Schizosaccharomyces pombe: one gene and its partners. Changing the gene in region 1 together with any one later gene gives a genetic interaction. Each region holds a gene or a part of one and is shown on either strand. Other genes may lie near its edges.

Evidence for each region. A genetic interaction does not mean that the proteins touch.
Region 2: mutations in prw1 (region 1) and SPOM_SPAC977.17 together harm fitness more than expected from each alone (negative genetic interaction), as found in Schizosaccharomyces pombe (one large-scale study listed by BioGRID).
Region 3: mutations in prw1 (region 1) and nud3 together harm fitness more than expected from each alone (negative genetic interaction), as found in Schizosaccharomyces pombe (one large-scale study listed by BioGRID).

What each region holds. Positions count from the first base shown.
Region 1 is NC_003424.3:5,109,016-5,114,383, forward strand, and holds prw1 (histone chaperone, Clr6 and Rpd3L complex subunit Prw1), read right to left. Parts: upstream 2,868-5,368; 5' UTR 2,860-2,867; coding exon 2,775-2,859; exon of another isoform or gene 2,705-2,774; coding exon 2,599-2,704; exon of another isoform or gene 2,522-2,598; coding exon 1,417-2,521; 3' UTR 1,279-1,416; downstream 1-1,278. Other genes in the region: Ca(2+)/Mn(2+)-transporting P-type ATPase P5 type Cta5, read left to right, coding at 1-1,053, 1,100-1,278; fun14 (integral mitochondrial outer membrane (MOM) protein), read left to right, coding at 4,127-4,354, 4,466-4,681. UniProt on the Schizosaccharomyces pombe protein: Has a role in chromatin assembly and chromosome segregation. Involved in the deacetylation of histones.
Region 2 is NC_003424.3:63,429-70,972, reverse strand, and holds SPOM_SPAC977.17 (MIP superfamily protein), read right to left. Parts: upstream 4,294-7,544; 5' UTR 3,831-4,293; coding exon 2,034-3,830; 3' UTR 1,152-2,033; downstream 1-1,151. Other genes in the region: dihydroxyacetone kinase Dak2, read left to right, coding at 4,294-6,069; SPOM_SPAC977.15 (dienelactone hydrolase family, implicated in cellular detoxification), read right to left, coding at 7,241-7,544.
Region 3 is NC_003423.3:3,228,725-3,233,231, forward strand, and holds nud3 (nuclear movement protein nudc), read left to right. Parts: upstream 1-2,667; 5' UTR 2,668-2,796; coding exon 2,797-3,297; 3' UTR 3,298-3,356; downstream 3,357-4,507. Other genes in the region: meiotic septin Spn7, read right to left, coding at 156-436, 479-591, 631-1,142, 1,294-1,387, 1,438-1,519, 1,564-1,768; yap18 (ENTH/VHS domain protein), read right to left, coding at 3,580-4,507.

The sequences.
Region 1 (5,368 bases):
AGAGCCCTTTAAGAGAATCATCTAAAGATGTTATTTCCTCTCTTTTAAGAAGCAAAATGGAAGTTTCGATTTGTTCTGGCGATTCATTGTTCACTAGTGTTTTCGTTGCTAAGCATTGCGGTGCATTAGACTCATGCAATTTTATATACACAGCTGAACTAGCAGATTCTGGGGATGATTGTCCACAAATCCATTTTGAAAAAATAGATTTACAAACTCAGAACTTTCAGCCCATTCCCGACGGCTTCTCTTTAAAAGATGTAATCCTCGAGAAGGATTCAAGCCTTTGTATGGATGGAAAACTACTTCAAAGATTATTGACCATGCTTTCTTTTAATGAAATTAAAATCTTATTAAGTAAACTAAGGGTTCTCGCTAGAATGTCCCCTTTTGACAAGGCTACATATGTGGAGCTTTGTCAAAAATATGGCTGCAAAGTTGGCTTTTGCGGTGACGGGGCAAATGACTGTATTGCTTTGAAGCAAGCCGATGTTGGAGTTTCTCTCTCTGATTCCGAGGCATGTGCTGCAGCTTCCTTTGTTAGCAAAAAAAAATCAATTAAGGATGTTTTTAATGTCTTATTGGAGGGCAGATGCTCCTTAATACTTAGCCATCGTTGTTTTCAATATATGGTGTTGTGTGCTATAGTCCAGTTTTCTGGTGTCTTCTTTCTCTATTTAAAAAATTATAACTTTAACGATAACCAATTTTTGTTTATGGATCTGTTAATCATATTTCCACTGTCAGCAGCTATGAGTTACTTCGACCCTGCTCAAAATTTGACAAGCAATCGCCCTAATTCAACATTGTTTGGCAAAGGAAGAGTAAAGGATTTAGGAATTCAATCAGTATTAATATGGCTATCCCATGGCTTGCTGACTTTAATACTACACGAGTTGAACTGGGTTGAATTACCTGAATGGCAACTTGAAAAATCAAATACGAAAAACGTGCTAGTGACTAGCATATTTCTTTTAAGTTCTTTACAATATTTAGGAATTTGTATTGGAATAAACCAAAGTTCCGAGTTTTTGTCACCTATTTGGAAAAAAAGTAAGTGAAAATCCTGTCTTTTGTTTATTAACATCTTATGATATAGAAACTTATGTATGTTTGTGTACTACCATTGGCCTTTGCAATATCTATCTATGTTTTGCAAATGAAAATCACATTATCTCTAGGTGTTTGCAAATCACACGTCTACCGACACTGTATCGTTTCATAATACTTTTTATGGGAGTTATCTCGTGCTGCCTTACGAGTATTCTGAACATGTAAAAAAAACAAAATTAAATATATATATGTTAATCAAAAACTTGCTTTTATGTGCAATTAGGGTAGAAAAAAAAAGGAGTTAAAGAGAGAAACAGGTTTGGGACATTAAGTAAAATATCAATGAATGTTGTATACGACCGGTTAACTTAAATATGCCGTAGCATCTTCCTCTAATTGTTCATTACCCCAAATTGAGCGAGAAGGTGTCCAAATTTGAAGAATATTATCTTCAGCAGCGGTTGCCATTGTCCAATTATAATTAGGACACCAATCCATGTCAATTGTACAAGAAGTATGGCCTCCGTGCATAAAAAGAAGCTCCGGAGGACCGTCTTGAGCTTCCTCAGCAGGCTGATCTTCCCCGATTCTTGAAAGATCCCAAACTAAGGTCCTTCTATCGGCTGAGGTAGAAGCAAGAATAGGCTCTTCATGAGGAGAAAAGCTAATTTTTGTTACAATGTCTTCATGTCCTTCTAATGTATGTAAGCGTTGATTAAGGTTCCGTAAATCCCAAAGTGCAATGGTTTTGTCAGTCGAACAAGTAGCCAAAATAAAGTCGTTATGAGGGTTGAAAGCAACAGAATGAATAGGACCGCTATGGGCATGCACACTTCGAGCTGGCTTTGTGGAAGCATCAGGGCGACGAATATCATGAACATGAAGGTACTGATCATAGGAAACTGAAGCAAGAAGATCCTGGTGCTTATAATGAAAGCGTACATCACTGACCTGTTTTTCATGGCTGCTTATATGCACTTTCAAAACTGACGCTGAATCTGACTCGTTGTAAGCATTCAAATCCCAACAAGAAAGAGTAGCGTCTTGCGATCCAGAAACCAAAGTACCCTTAGAAAGAAAATTCCAACAAACACTAGTACAGGGCTGGGTATGTTTGGTCAATCTATATTTGGGCTTAAGAGGAGACTCACTAGCCGAGCTATAAGATTCGAAGGATTCCTTGTCAAAAACCAACACATCATTATGATAGTTACCCACCGTAGCTACACAAGAATCGTCTTGTGGCATAAGCTTCGCACTACAAACAGACTCAGGATGAGAATAAAGATTTGAGATATTAACACGTAGAGAAGACTCGTCACCCGCAGATGCTCCCTCCATTGTAGTAGGAGGAACAGTCTGATTTAAATAGGGTAATTGAATAGACGCAACAGCTAGTAAGTATTTGCCAACATCAGCACGAACTCCCAGAAACATTTTCTGCTCAGTATATCCATGTTCTGCAAAACTATAACAAAAAATAATGGTAAGTTTTTTGAGTCACATAAACAAGATTAAACATTATGATTCAAATGATTGACTTACATTTGCTGCTCTGGATACCATTGTAGTGACATACAAGGCCATTCCAAAGCTCTAGTAATTATTAAATCGTAAAGGAACGGTGAGTTCTTTTTCCAAATTTTATACTCTGTTTCAGATTAGAAACACATTTTACATTGATCAACTAGAAATTGTATGTTAAAACGTTGCAGACATACCTTCATTGATGCATTTTTCTTGATTTATTCCCTCCTCCGAAGCCTGCGCTTGCTTGGAAGGATGGGGAACAGCTGATACAGCCATTATGTTCTAGTTAAAATGATTGAATCTGCTTTTTGGTGGATGGTGAGTAGACGCGTGCAGCGCTAATGTGCACACTAAGTGTTCTTAAATAGGTGCAGGTTGGTTTATAAATTAAGATTGTTTAGGTTTTATATAATCACAGCCGTATAGATGTTTAAATGGGAAAAAACAATAGAAACTTAATCTTGTCTCATGCTTCGGCTAGCGTCTTTTCATCTTCTCTCTCGACCTGAGATGCGTTTCCACAGTGCTAGAAATTGCAACTTTTAAAGAGACTGTTAATTGTAAAAAGTTGAATTACTAAAAATGATTATGTTTGCTGAACATATGTATACAGAAGTGAGATATAATTTGGGTAGCACAAGCTTCCCGATGGACTGCTATAAGACACAAGATGGAAAGATAAATTTATAGAGCTGAGAGTTAAGAATCTTTAATTTAGATGAGTTTTTTTTTACTTTGCTTTCATGCTAATTTCATCTACTCTAACTTCTGCATGAATCAGTGCGTCAAGAACAGAAACACTTTGAAGCTTTTTTTTAGTCACACAAGGCAACAACCGCTTGAGAAGCAGGATTATTAAAATTGGTAAAAAAATTATGTTCCTCTTAGTTTTAAGGTACATTCAACTTGTGTATCGCCAATAGCAAAACGCAGCCAAAATTTCTGAAGTTCTCCTTTTTTTGAATATTCAATTGAGCGTGAATAAAAAGTATATGATTTAAAATAATGATCTCCCACCTGTTCTGCAATCCTTGGAAAATGCATCAAGTCATACTGAAAACCAAACGAGCAAGAAGCCGAATTCAAGATGCCCTCGTATTCTTGCGTACCCTTAGTAAAAGAAATGAGAAATATATTTAATTTAATTGTTAAAATGAAGACAATCCCGTTTCAATATGTATGCCGTTCTTTACATCAAGAAAAAAGAACTTCGAAGCAAGTCATACCAAACTAAAAGATCGTTGATCTTAAAAAGGAACATTATTAATTTTAGAAACGATGATGAAGAAGCACAAAATTACCTTTCACTTAAATACTTCGTACACAATACATTTGTTTACATCTTTCTCTTATAATAAATCTACCTTAAGACACACACTTTCTCAGTAAGCTGATTAAGAAAAAGCAACGAAGATACTTTATCCATCTTTTATTTACATCTTCGAGACATGACGTTTCGTAATAATTCCCACCTTTAGACTAAACCGTTTCCACCAAATTTGTACCTTTTCTATTATTTTTCTTTATTTTTTACTCTCACATAATGAATTGTTTACTTCTAGGAAGAGGATTCTTGCACAGGTTTCACCCATTTCGCCCAGTCTTGTGTGAAGATTCGGCAAGTGCTGCAACTACTATCACCTCTCAATTTAAGCTGAATTACCGTCAAATCTTTATTGGAAGCTCTCTTGGTTTAGCAGCCGGATTTGCTTTAGGAAAATTGGGCCGTTTATTCATCGTTGCCTGCTCCGCCGTTTTCGCTACCATTGCTGTAAGTGCTTAAGTTTGATTCTTTATTTATATTTAGAGGTTTTAAAAACCTTGTGTTTCGCACTGAAAATCGTATTTATCTTTCATAATACTAACACAATACGTTTATTAGTATATTAACAGTAAAGGTCTGATCCGAATTAATTGGCCCCAGCTGCAGCAACAAGTTATAGGTCCTACGGAGCAGTATACTGGATTTCATTTCCCAAGTTCAGGTAGGTTTAATACTCAATCAACATTTCCTACCATTCGTAATTGGATCTGTACAAACCCCAATTTCAAGCTGAGCTTCTTTTCAGCTATGTATGTTGGATTTGTGTCATCATAAAAGTGGCTGAATTTCACCACAACACATTTCGATTTTGATACATTGTTCAGCCCTCGCACTCCTCTCAATTCCTATGATTCCTTTGAACCCCAACGTTCGTTCTATACTACCAATAGTGAAACATTTTGCTCACGCTCCTGTTCAGAAGCTTACTTTTCATATGCATCTATCTAACTATAATTGAGTTTTCATTCATTAACCAATCAACACGATTTTCTTTGTTTTGGTACCGAATTTAATTATTAAGTAGCTGCACACACTAATGTCTTAGACAGTGGAAGTAACTCAGATATGTCAGCTCCGTGCTCATAACTTTCTAGGTTTAGTTAAAAAGTGACTTACTAGTGCATGCAACAAATCACAGACACCACGCTCACTAGTGTACATATAAAAATGATAACGAACGTAATATAAAGCTTTAATGTAAGAATTCTTTAAAAATATATACATATACCCAAAATATGTAGTTTAAACACCAACTCTCTCCCTTTCCTCTTGGCAATTGGAGTGCCGGTGTTGAAACCACATGAGGTGTAATAAAGTTAAAATAGACAAACACAAGCGATTGTTGAATAGCGCTTGGCATTGTGTCAAACTATGAATAATTTGTGACGCGTTTCACGATCAAACCCATCCCTTCGCCCTTCTAGAGTGAATGCAATAAAAAAACAAAAGTCTTTCAATACA
Region 2 (7,544 bases), 5.0 Mb from region 1:
TAAAATCTAACGCAAATGTGGGACTGAATATTTTGTCTACATTTGTGGAAACATCGAAATTTAGAACATTTCTAAAGTTGCACATGGTTTTAAAGATTTTTTTACGTGTGGTTGAAAAGAATGTATTATTTCATTCGTAAATGATTTTATGGATATTATATTTTGATAGCAGCTTCATGCTTGCTCCGCTCAAAATATCTAATTGAAAGACAGCCATTTTAGTCATAAATGTTGTAGAATCTGCTCAGAGCTTACCAAGTTACTCTCAACGCTATAAGCAGAAGTAAAATGTACACAAAAAGAAATCCCAAGTAAGTATTGCGGTTTCTCAGAGTTGAGATTTTTTTATTTCACGCGCTTAAGAAATCATTTCAAGTTGTAGTTAGGATTAATAGATCTGATAGAAGTATAATCGTTACAAATAGACCGCCGAGGCAAAGCGAGCTTTTTTTTTCAGAAAACTGACAATACTGGAGCCAAATTAAACAAGCGTTTTCTAGTTGCAAGCTTCCTGAATTAGTAAATTTAATTGCTATTACGGCTGCGAATTACATGTAAAAACTTTTAATTAATATTATTTGCGAAGTTGATTCATTTTGTCACTATCAATATCGTCTAATTAAAACAGAAAAAAAATATTTGCCATCGCATACTAGTTCTTCTCTTCCCAAAACAGAGGTTTGGTATTCATAAAATGACTACTGGAATATCCAATATATTAAACTCGGATATTAAACATAAAAAGCAGGGTTCCGGACATTCAATTTCCAAGTGAGTTTGAACTTTATAAATACATACCGTAAAAATACTGGAAATGAAAGTAATTTTAAAATTTAATAAACTACGGTTTTAGTTTTACGGGAATCCTTGCATTCCGAAATAAATTTTGATAATGCCTTTGGAAAAATAATCGGTTTATATAATGACATTAGTGAATCTACAAGCTGTTCCCACTGATTTTATAAGTTTTTTTACAAAATGCTTTCAGTCGTTGGTTTGCTTTATAATTTTATAGAAGTTTGATTATTTAACTATTATACGAAAACAATACCAAATAATGGGTTACCGAAAAATATTTTTTAAACAGCGTGTTCATGAAAATATTGGTATTACATTCAATATCTAGAATGTATTTTATGTTTAAAATGTACAGAAAAATTTCATCCTCGTTGAGCTTTTAAATATTAACAAAACATGTTTTAACAAAATCGACAAAAGTGAATCATAAAATTATATATCATAACATAACGTCCAATTATTCTAAATAAAAAAATCTTTAGATATGAGTTAAAACTTTTTTGATATCTTAACTAATTTAGCTAAATCCTAAGTATGTTAACCAAATAGAGAAGCAAGTATTTCATGACGTAATGGTCATATCGGCCATTTTTAATATCTGTTGTTTTGAAAAACCAAATGTTTTAAGGACTAAAAATTACAGGTAGATATATGAATAAATAGCAAAAAAGAGAAGAGAAAATTTCGGTCAAAGTTGAACTTGAAAAGGGGGTTGGGCAATATAAGTAATCATACAAGGTAATCGTACTACTTTCGCAGTACATAGAGTAAAGAAGAGAGCAAGAAAATTGTGTTACGCAAAGCGGAAGAAAAATCGGTAATACGCAAAAACGTAAAAAAGAAGTCAACAGGAATCCAAAAATTAGGTTTCAAAGTAAGTTGAGGGAAGAAGTAATAAATTCGAGACACCGCAATATAATGGGAAAATCGTCTTTTTTGATATGAAATCAATTTTAATTGAAGCTGCCGCTATTGCAACAACATAAGGGCGTCCCAAGCATTAAGAAGCTGAAAATTTTTACAGCAACAAAGAGTAACACAACAAAACCCTAGTGCTTAAATTAAACAAAAAAAATGGGGAAGACATAGCTCTTTGTCCATCTCAAAAGATAATATAAAAGCTAATATATGCTTAGTATAAAGAGAAAAGCTGCTCCACAATAATAAGAATAAATAAATAAAAAGTAAATGGTTTCAATCTTCTGCATTTTGTGACATGAAAGATTATTAAGAGTTCAATTATTCTCAATCGGAGAATCTGTTTTTTCCAAGTTTTCAACCTCTTCTTCCTTCTCAAATTTTGCGGTAATCTGATGCACTTTTTTATCGATAAACCCGTTATCTGGATAATTAAGTGGAGACTCTGGGCCCGTAAATATTACTAAATCATAAATAAGTCCTCCAGCAATACCACCTCCTATGGTACCGCCCCAAGCACCCCAAGTCCACCACCAATGATACAGGTGAAATGAATGTGGTCCATAGCCAATCCACCATGCAAACATACGAGGTCCCAAGTCACGAGCTGGATTCAGAGTGAAACTTGTTTGATATCCAAGAGCCATACCAATAGCTGCAATAAGCAAACCAACGATAAAAGCAGTCATGCCCTGGGTTGGTGGAGAGTTGGTATCATCTAGAATGGCGAATAAACATCCTACCAAAACGGCTGTTCCAATAAACTCATCGAAAAATGCGTTTCTCCAAGTGACGTATGGTTTTGGATTGGTGTACAAACAACCACCTGTTGCCGGTGTTCTAATATCTTTGCCTCCTTCAAATTCAGTAATTGAACTCCAATGGTAACCATAGGCAAGTGCACCTCCAAAGAATGCACCCCAGATTTGGAAAAAAATGTAGATTGGCACTTTATACCAAGGAAATTTGCGAAATATGGCTAATGAGATAGTCACAGCGGGATTGACATGACCACCACTGATTCCACCAGCTATATAAACGCCAAGCATGCAACCAAATCCCCAAGCAAAAGAAAGGGATTCGAAGCTTCCACCTGCTCCATTAGTGACGGTAGCTTGCAAATTACTGCCTACACCAAACACAACCAAAACCAAAGTGCCCAGGAACTCAGCAAAACCCTCACGAAAAAAGTGTCTAATCTTGCACCAATAGTTGAGATACAGGGTTTCAGTATCGCTTCCCGAGTCTAAACTTTCTTCAGCAATAATTTCATTAGGAGGCATAGTAATATCTTGAGATGAATCTTGTTCAGCTATTGACGGTTTCCTAGAGAAACTAACATTATTTCTTGGGGTCTCTGGTTCAGCATTTTCCGCATGCTCTACCGTTATCGCGGAAGACTTACGCTGGGTTTGGGGTTGCTCCTCAGCAATGGATGGTTGACGGCTGCTTTGAAGCGAGAAACTAACTTTGGGTCTTGAAGCGGCTTGTTCCGCTATGGAAACGGAAGATTTATTGCGCGGCAATTGAGCTTCTTCATCATTAAGCTTGACTCTTGATCCAAAAACAGCACTCTTCATTTTCCGTTTCCAATTGGGCGATCCATCCATACCAGCCAAAGAGACCGAGGAGTTTGCTCTGGAATTTGCTCTGGAATTCACCCTGGAATTTGCTCTAGAACGAGCTTCCTGATTCTTTTGAGATATTTTTTCTACCACAGAGTTACCAAGAACATGTGGCAATGGTCCATTCAAACTCCACACCGGTTTGTTGGGTCTCCTCCCAGCATTCAATTCTTCGTAATAAGGATCAACATAATTTCGACGCGATTGTCCGGATATATCTTCAAGTCTTCCAGCAAGGTACCCACCAAGCCAGGGTTGAGAATCCGAGTCGGCAGTGTTGTCCAGGCCTTTGAGGTTGGGTGAAGAGAACGCAACTTTTAGGGTATTTTTGGGACGCATTTGTCGAGCTTTAGTGGTATTGACTCTTCTTGGCACGTCCGTCGTATTGAAAGTGTCTAATTCAGTTGTGGGACCATCATCATGCACGCTCTCATTATCTGAGGCTGAAGGAGATGATGATGGTGTCGAGAAGCGTAAAGGGACGCTCATTTAGTAGTGAATTAGACGGGACAAATCTTGGCTTTTATGGAAATTTTTTGAATGCACGCGGGTACTGGCGGGAATACCAAAATTAAGGTTTGAAATAGCTTTGGGAATAAGGTGGAGTAAAACAGTGCATTATATACTCATGCAAGTGGTCCAGATAACCGAAGTTAAGCAACCGTCGATGACAACGTGTAGTGGCGGCACAAATTTGGTGACGAATCTTAAGCGCAAATCAATTTATCTACAGAATATTAAGAATATGTGTTATAAATTTCCCTGAATTGGACAAGTTTATACAATGCGTTTGCACACTCGCATAACTGCCGCTTCAACCGTAATCAACAATTGGTCAGCTAGGCGGGTATGCCGGATATTTGCAAATCTTAGAACGCACCGCGCGCGGGGTAGTAGTAATGTAAAGAATGAGATAAAAAAGCAGGAAGGGAACGTTTCTTTTCAATTAAAAATGTCTGTAAAACAATTTGTATCTGACGGACATATAGTACGCCCATACTTGCTTGGACTTGCTAGAAGTAACCCTGGTCTTACTGTTATTGAACATGATCGTGTGATTTACAGGACAGCTTCTGCCCCGGGTTCTGGTGATCTTCCTAAAGTAACTTTAGTGTCTGGTGGTGGTAGTGGGCACGAGCCTACACATGCAGGTTTTGTTGGTGATGGAGCCTTGGACGCTGTAGCTTGTGGAGACATTTTTGCTTCTCCCTCTACTAAACAAATTTACTCTGCCCTCAAAGCTGTTGCTTCTCCTAAGGGAACTTTAATTATTGTCAAGAATTATACAGGCGATATTATTCATTTTGGCCTGGCAGCTGAGAGAGCCAAGGCAGCTGGAATGAACGTTGAGCTTGTTGCCGTAGGAGATGATGTTTCTGTAGGCAAAAAAAGAGGTGCACTCGTAGGAAGAAGAGGTTTAGGAGCCACTGTGCTAGTACACAAAATTGCGGGATCTGCAGCAGCATTAGGATTGGATCTGCATCAAGTTGCTCAAGTGGCCCAATCAGTGATTGACAATGCTGCTACCATAGCAGCTTCATTGGATCACTGCGCCGTTCCCGGTCGCAAATTTGAAACCAACTTGGGTCCAGACGAGTATGAGATTGGCATGGGTATTCATAACGAGCCTGGAACCTTCAAATCATCACCACTTCCATCTATTCCCGAGCTAGTTACAGAGATGCTTTCAATTTTGTTTGGTGAGAAAAACCCGGACAATAGTTTCGTAGAGTTTTCTTCAAAAGACGATGTTATCCTTCTAGTAAACAATATGGGTGGTATGTCCAATTTAGAGTTGGGATATGCTACTGAAGTAGTTTCGGAACAATTAGCCAAACGAGGTATCATTCCTAAAAGAACCATGTCTGGTACGTTTGTAACCGCTCTGAACGGTCCTGGTTTTGGAATTACATTGGTCAATGCTTCTAAGGCTACTCCAGATATTTTCAAATATTTTGACTTGCCAACAACCGCTAGTGGATGGAACGTTTCTTATCATAACGCAAAGGACTGGGAGGTTTTGGCTGACGGCAAGGTGCCAACAGCTCCCGCTTTGGAGCATACCCGTAATGAGAAGCACAGCGGTGTAAAGGCTGACCCAAAGATGTTTACTAAAATTTTAAAAGCTGCCGTTGACGCTATCAATGAATTTGAGCCAAAGACAACTTGGTACGATACGATTGCAGGAGATGGTGATTGTGGAACAACCCTTGTGAATGGTGGAGAGGCCATCACAAAGGCTATTAATGATAAATCGATTCGATTGGATGATGGTGTAAATGGTATTGACGATTTGGCCTATATTGTTGAGGATTCGATGGGAGGTACATCGGGTGGTCTTTACTCGATTTATTTGTCTGCGCTAGCCAAAGGAGTTCATGAGTCAGGCGATTCCGAATTATCCGTGCATACATTTGCGTTTGCAAGCAAGTATGCACTTGACGCTCTTTTCAAATACACTAGAGCCCGTAAAGGATTCCGAACGCTTATTGATGCTATTCAACCATTTGTTGAAACTTTAAATGAGGGTAAGGGACTTGATGCTGCTGCGAAAGCTGCCACTGAAGGTTCTGAACAAACTAGAAAAATGGATGCTGTCGTTGGAAGAGCATCTTATGTTGCTAAAGAAGAACTTCATAAGCTTGATAGTGAGGGAGGATTGCCGGATCCTGGTGCCTTTGCATTGGCCGCTATTTTGAACGCAATTGTTGAGGCAAGCGAACATTAAAGCGTTTTTTATCACTACCTCAGAATTTGGCTCTATGTTAATAATGCACATAGTTAATGTTGGAAAGGCATATCATGTAACCTGAGTTTAAAATTGTTTTGGCTTTCTTTTAAAATTTTCACCATAATTACAAAATGTTTGATTAAATTTTGTATCCACTGGCTTTTTTAGAACTTTCTTTTAAGAATCAATATATTGCGAATAAAAAAGCTTGGATCAAATGATTACTGATGTATTATTTACACTTTTGGTCCTATTGTCTAGTATTAATTTGTAGGAGGCGTTGGAGAACGTGAAAATATTGCAGTAGTTATAGCTTACAATTCGTCAAAAAAAGAGAATTACATGCAGAAATTGTTAAACGAATTTACCTGCCGAAATGCTATGTAGATCTGATCTGTAAAGCGAAAACGAAGTAGACAATCACATGCACTGTATGGTTTTTTTCAAAAGACTGACATGTTACTCGGTCGGCGATCATAAACTGATCATTTAGCCAACCTTTCTGATTCTTAGCACTTGGTAGATGTTTGCTGAATACTAGACGGAAAATTACGTGAAATGTGTTGACAGAGAACGCTATTATCCAATAAACATTTTGGACAAACTATTTTGTCTAAAATGTAATTTTTCTTCAAATAAAGTAAGCGATTAATTTTTTATTATGTTTGTTTTAATGAAGAAATTTGAAATCTAGAAAACCCAAAAAAAAATATCTTGCATGAATTCAGTGTTTCCTTAAGGAGATCCGCACACTTTCAAGTTGTCTCGTTCTGTGTTATGAAACAGCTAGTTAATTATAACCATAAAACTAGACCGTAAATCTTTGTACGAATTCGGAAAAAGGTACGTTTTATTGAAGCAGCTAATGGATGAATTTATAAAGCATTCAGCCTAGTTTTTTCTTTTAAGATTGATAAAAATTTTTGTAATTTCAGAAATTTCTAGTTAGGTAGTATATGACGAATATGGAAATAAATTAGGCCGCATTAAACTTTTGAAATTGTATCCTATAATTACTCTCAATTGAAAATGATAATAGTTGCAGTAGTTATAATCACTTAACGAAACTTTATTGAATATGAAATTAACAAATGTTGTTGGCGGTCAACGACAGGTGCTATATTTATTCTTAACTAATCCAAAAATCTCTAAGCGACACCAATACTATTTAAAAAAGTTCTTTAAAGAATTTTAAAAAGATTTGGTAACCTAAATCAAAATATTTTCGATTTTCAGGATCCGATAGGTTGGCTCGAGCTGCCATCCATCCGTGATGCATTTTTCCAAAAGTCTCAAAATACGATTCAGAAAAATATGGAGAGTTTTCGAAACTTTTCTTCCAAGCATCAACTTCCTCAGGATCTTCGTCCTTTGAACATAGAAAGCAAACTGGACAATGAACATGTTTAGCGTCTACAGGATCAAGAAGAGATGGATGCGCACATCCAATACGCAAGAATCTTTCTTTATTA
Region 3 (4,507 bases), on another chromosome or scaffold:
GGTAATCTAGTAGTCTAATGAATGCTTATGTTAAGGACATAGGTAGAGAAGTAGGTGTATGATTAAGCAATTAAAAAGAAATCAAAAGACTTTTCATGAACTTATACTAAATTATTCTTTTGATTGTTTATAATTTGCACTCTCAAATGTTTAATTTAGCGATAGAAAGGGAGGTTTTCGTAACGCTCATGAGACAAATCATCCATTTTCTTCATCTCCAATTCCTTTGTCGTATTGTTGGGTAGACTGTTTCGACTTGATGTAGTTCTGTGAGGAAATTCCTTTGGCGATATTACTTCTAATCCAATTTGTTCACAGTTTAATTGATTAGTTTTAGTTTTAGTATTTCCATAAGAATCGCATTTAAGACTGCTGGTGTTGTCAACTTTGATGGAGTTAATTTTCTTTAACTCCTCAGATTTTGTAGAATCGGAGACTGCGTTCATTAGCACGAAAATGAGAGAATGCATATACTTACCATTAGTTCGCATTTCTGATTGATCAATCGAAGATCGAGTCTCCGTTCTCTCAGAACCATTTACACTTCTTTTATCTTCATTTGCAACTATGGAATTTTGCTTTTGCAATGACCTAACTTATTAGCTCGCTTATGCATAGTTAATTTCTTACAATGATGTGTTCGAAGGTGAGTCGTTGGACAGTTTTTCTGTACGATAATTCTCATAATAGGTTTGTTTAGTTATACTTTTGAGTATATCCAAATGAGAAATAAACAATACGGTCTTCAAGTTAAGAAAATCAGAATGTGCAGGATCATCAATTACGAATGTTCCCCATTGGAATTTCTTGACGATTCTTTGATATCCTTCTTCATCTTCCTCTGATACCCCTCCAGATACAGCGAATGGAACACTTTCCCAAAGTCGTTTGTTATCCTCAATGACTTCGTCTTCATCCTCCTCAGGATCCCAAGGAAAGTCAAATACCTTTATGTTACATTGTTTCAAATCCTTCATTATCACATCTTTGAAGTTCTTTAATTCTTCTTCAGTAAAAGCGTTGGAGTTTCCAATGACAGGAATTACGTTTACGCGCTTTGAAAACCGTTTCATGGCTTCCAAATCAAACTCAGACAGGCAATGTCCACGGGGTGCAATAAAATAAAGTAGGGCATCAACGCGCTAAAATATCGTTAGAAAACTTTTTTTTCATTCCTCATTCTTAAACCAATGTGTTCTCTTGGTTTTCTACTTAACAACATTAAATCAAGTAATGGAAGTAACTTGATTGAAATAGTTAAGGACGGAAAAACTTTGTTTGCAGATTTCGTACCGTATCAGTAAATTTAGAATTTCTTTTGATTTTAGATTCTTCTATCAAGGCTTGATCGAATTGGCTTTCCAAATAATGAGTAACTACCTCGAAACTAATGCATTGAAATTAGCTTTAATTTAGAAAAATACCTTTTGGTATTACCTAGCTGAATTATCAATTTTATCTCCGAAACCATTTACTTCAATGACCGTAAGGTCAACATGGAACTCATCTTCTAAAATATCTAATTACAGTTAGCACACGAAAATTAAAACCGTAATAACTCACCAGCATTAAATTCCCTTATTTCCAGTATTCTATCAATATGAGCTTTTAGCGGATCTATCTCTGTTTCAGCTTCCAGTATTTGTTTACTGCACAAGCTATTGATACAAGCTTGGTAACTGGTGTAGCTAGATCCTGCTACCATTATGCGAAGCTTTTTTCCCTTTTTTGATAAGAATTTTGGACGATGTCTTGGGCCTTTATTCATCTTGAAGTGTTTGCTGTTGGAAGAACTTGGGTTTGTTTGTTTACTGCTTAATAAAGGCACCGATACGTTGGCAGTATATCCATTTCGCAAACAAGGAAAATCCAGAAGATTTCTTTATACAAAACTTTTCAATAGTACTTTTAAATATAGTTTATATTTTTTCTTCCAGTATTCTTCTCTAAATCATTTTGTGCCTTAATCATCTTCGCATTGTCCAAAATTTAAGTAATTTAACCTTTGACCTTTAACGAGCCCTCTGTTCATTTACTGAGTTAAAATAAGGCGCTGATATTTTGCATTAATTCATGAGACTTTCGAGTTTATTTAAGCGACAGCAATTGTTAAAGGAATCATAATCATGAAAACCCAATTCCCATGCTTATTTTGCATCTACCACACAAATTTTGAATGATTGCAACAGTTGTACCTTTCGTTGCTACATATAACTTCGTAAACATAATGATGCTGGTAGATTTTACATAACGATGTTCGTTAATGTTTTAATGTTATGATATGCTTGTTGTGATTTGCGCCATAGCCCATATAAACGGCTTTGAGCAAATTTCATAATAAATTGAATTGTTCCTAAAACTCGGTTTATTTGCAAAGCCTAATACATAACTTGAGTTACACCTTCCTCAAAAATTGAAGTTTTTTTTTAGCGCAACAAAATTCTACTTTTTAAAAAGTGAAATCTTTAACTCTAGAGTATTGTATAAAAATCGAATGTTAGTAAAATAAACGTAACAGAACACAAGTAAAAGTTACAGCCTGCGAGTTTGCACGACTCTCCACTGTGTGCACCGCAAACCATCAAACGTTAGCTCTTTAACGTAGCGTACAAACTCGTAATCTTGAAATTCCGGTTTATGAAGTCGGTAATTAAATATACATTAATCAAATCTAGCTTCATTTTTTAGGCTCGTAAAAGAATTTGATTTGCTTAGCCAAAAACGAGCACATATTTAATAAAATTACAAAGTAATCAACCGATTACGAAAAGCGTGAGTTGAGCTGCAGGTTTAAGAATGCATCAAGTAAAACTCGAAGAGGCCGAGTACGAGTGGGATCAAACAATAGCCGATGTTGATATTGTCATCCATGTACCCAAAGGGACAAGAGCGAAATCCCTCCAGGTAGATATGTCAAATCACGATCTCAAAATTCAAATCAACGTCCCAGAACGAAAAGTCCTTCTCAGTGGTCCACTCGAAAAACAGATCAATTTAGATGAAAGCACCTGGACTGTCGAAGAACAAGAAAGGCTTGTTATCCATCTCGAGAAATCCAATAAAATGGAATGGTGGTCGTGTGTTATAAAAGGGCATCCCTCAATCGATATAGGCTCAATTGAGCCCGAAAATTCAAAATTATCTGATCTAGATGAAGAAACAAGAGCTACAGTTGAAAAAATGATGTTGGAGCAAAGCCAAAAGCGTACCGATGAACAAAAACGAAAAGATGTACTGCAAAATTTCATGAAACAACATCCTGAACTAGATTTTTCAAATGTTAGAGACCAGATTTGAATAGTTTCATGATTTTATATATGTATAATTACAATTGTTACAAAACTTTCTAAGCTCTATTGATAAAAATGTAGAAATTTCTGGTATTTGTAAAACTGATAGTACAAAGAAGGTATAAACAGCAAATCGGCATTCTTTTAAACTAGAAATAAATCGAGAAAGTCTTGGATAAAGAGCGAGTTAGTATAATAATATTAATAAATGGGTCATTAGCTAGCCAGCAATAACTTATGCATGATTATATACAACGACATGATGGGTGCATTGACAACAAAAACAAACCTAACTTCGGAACGGATTTTTAGACTCCGTCGAAATTGAATTTCTCGCTAAATCAGTTGGTTCAGCCAATTCCCTCGTTGAAAAGGGGTTTTTAGATGCGGTGTACGGTGTAGACATCGGCCTTTCAGGAACATCCAACTTTTGTCCAATATTAACTGGGGAAGCCGAATGGCCATGCGTGAACCCATTAGGAGAATGTTGAATAAATCCAGGAGACCCTTCAGGATACATAATGTGAGCAGGGGACGGTAGCGGACCCCTTGAGTCTTCCATGGCAGGAATCATAACAGGATACTGCTGATTCAATACAGGAATATTTGGCTGTAACGGTATGGTAGTCGGTTGTTGCTGCTCAAACTGCATTCCTTGATAAGAGGGTTGCCTTAAAAAGTTTTGAAAAGGATTGGTTGTTGAAGGATTTACAGGATTATTTTGAGCATACATGTTAACTTGGGAAATATTCAAAGCAGTGTTTGGAGAAGCTCCAGTTTGTTGCATCCCATTCATTGTATATTGTATGTTTGCCATCTGATTTCCAGCCATCTGGGACAAGAGTTGAACTTGCTGTAATTGAGGGGGGATTGGTTGTGGGTGATAAGTTGGTGAAGAGCTGTTGTAAAAAGGGTTGAGAGAGTCATTCGGGTGACTCGGAATAGGCTGCACTATATTAGTACTTTCAGATTTTTTATCTAATGAAGGTGAAGCACTCGTTCCTTCAGCGCTCAAATTGTTTCGCTCCCTAAGCATTTCATCGACGAATGAAGAAGCAACGCCTAAAGAAAGAGAGAGATCGCCAACCTTGTCTTCAAGCTCGTTTTCCGATTCATAATTTGGTACTTCTTCTTCCTCCTCTTCCTCTTCTCCTTCCATCTCTTCTTCTTTTATTTCTTCTTCTTGTGTTTCTATACGGCTAGTGGTTCTCTGGGTT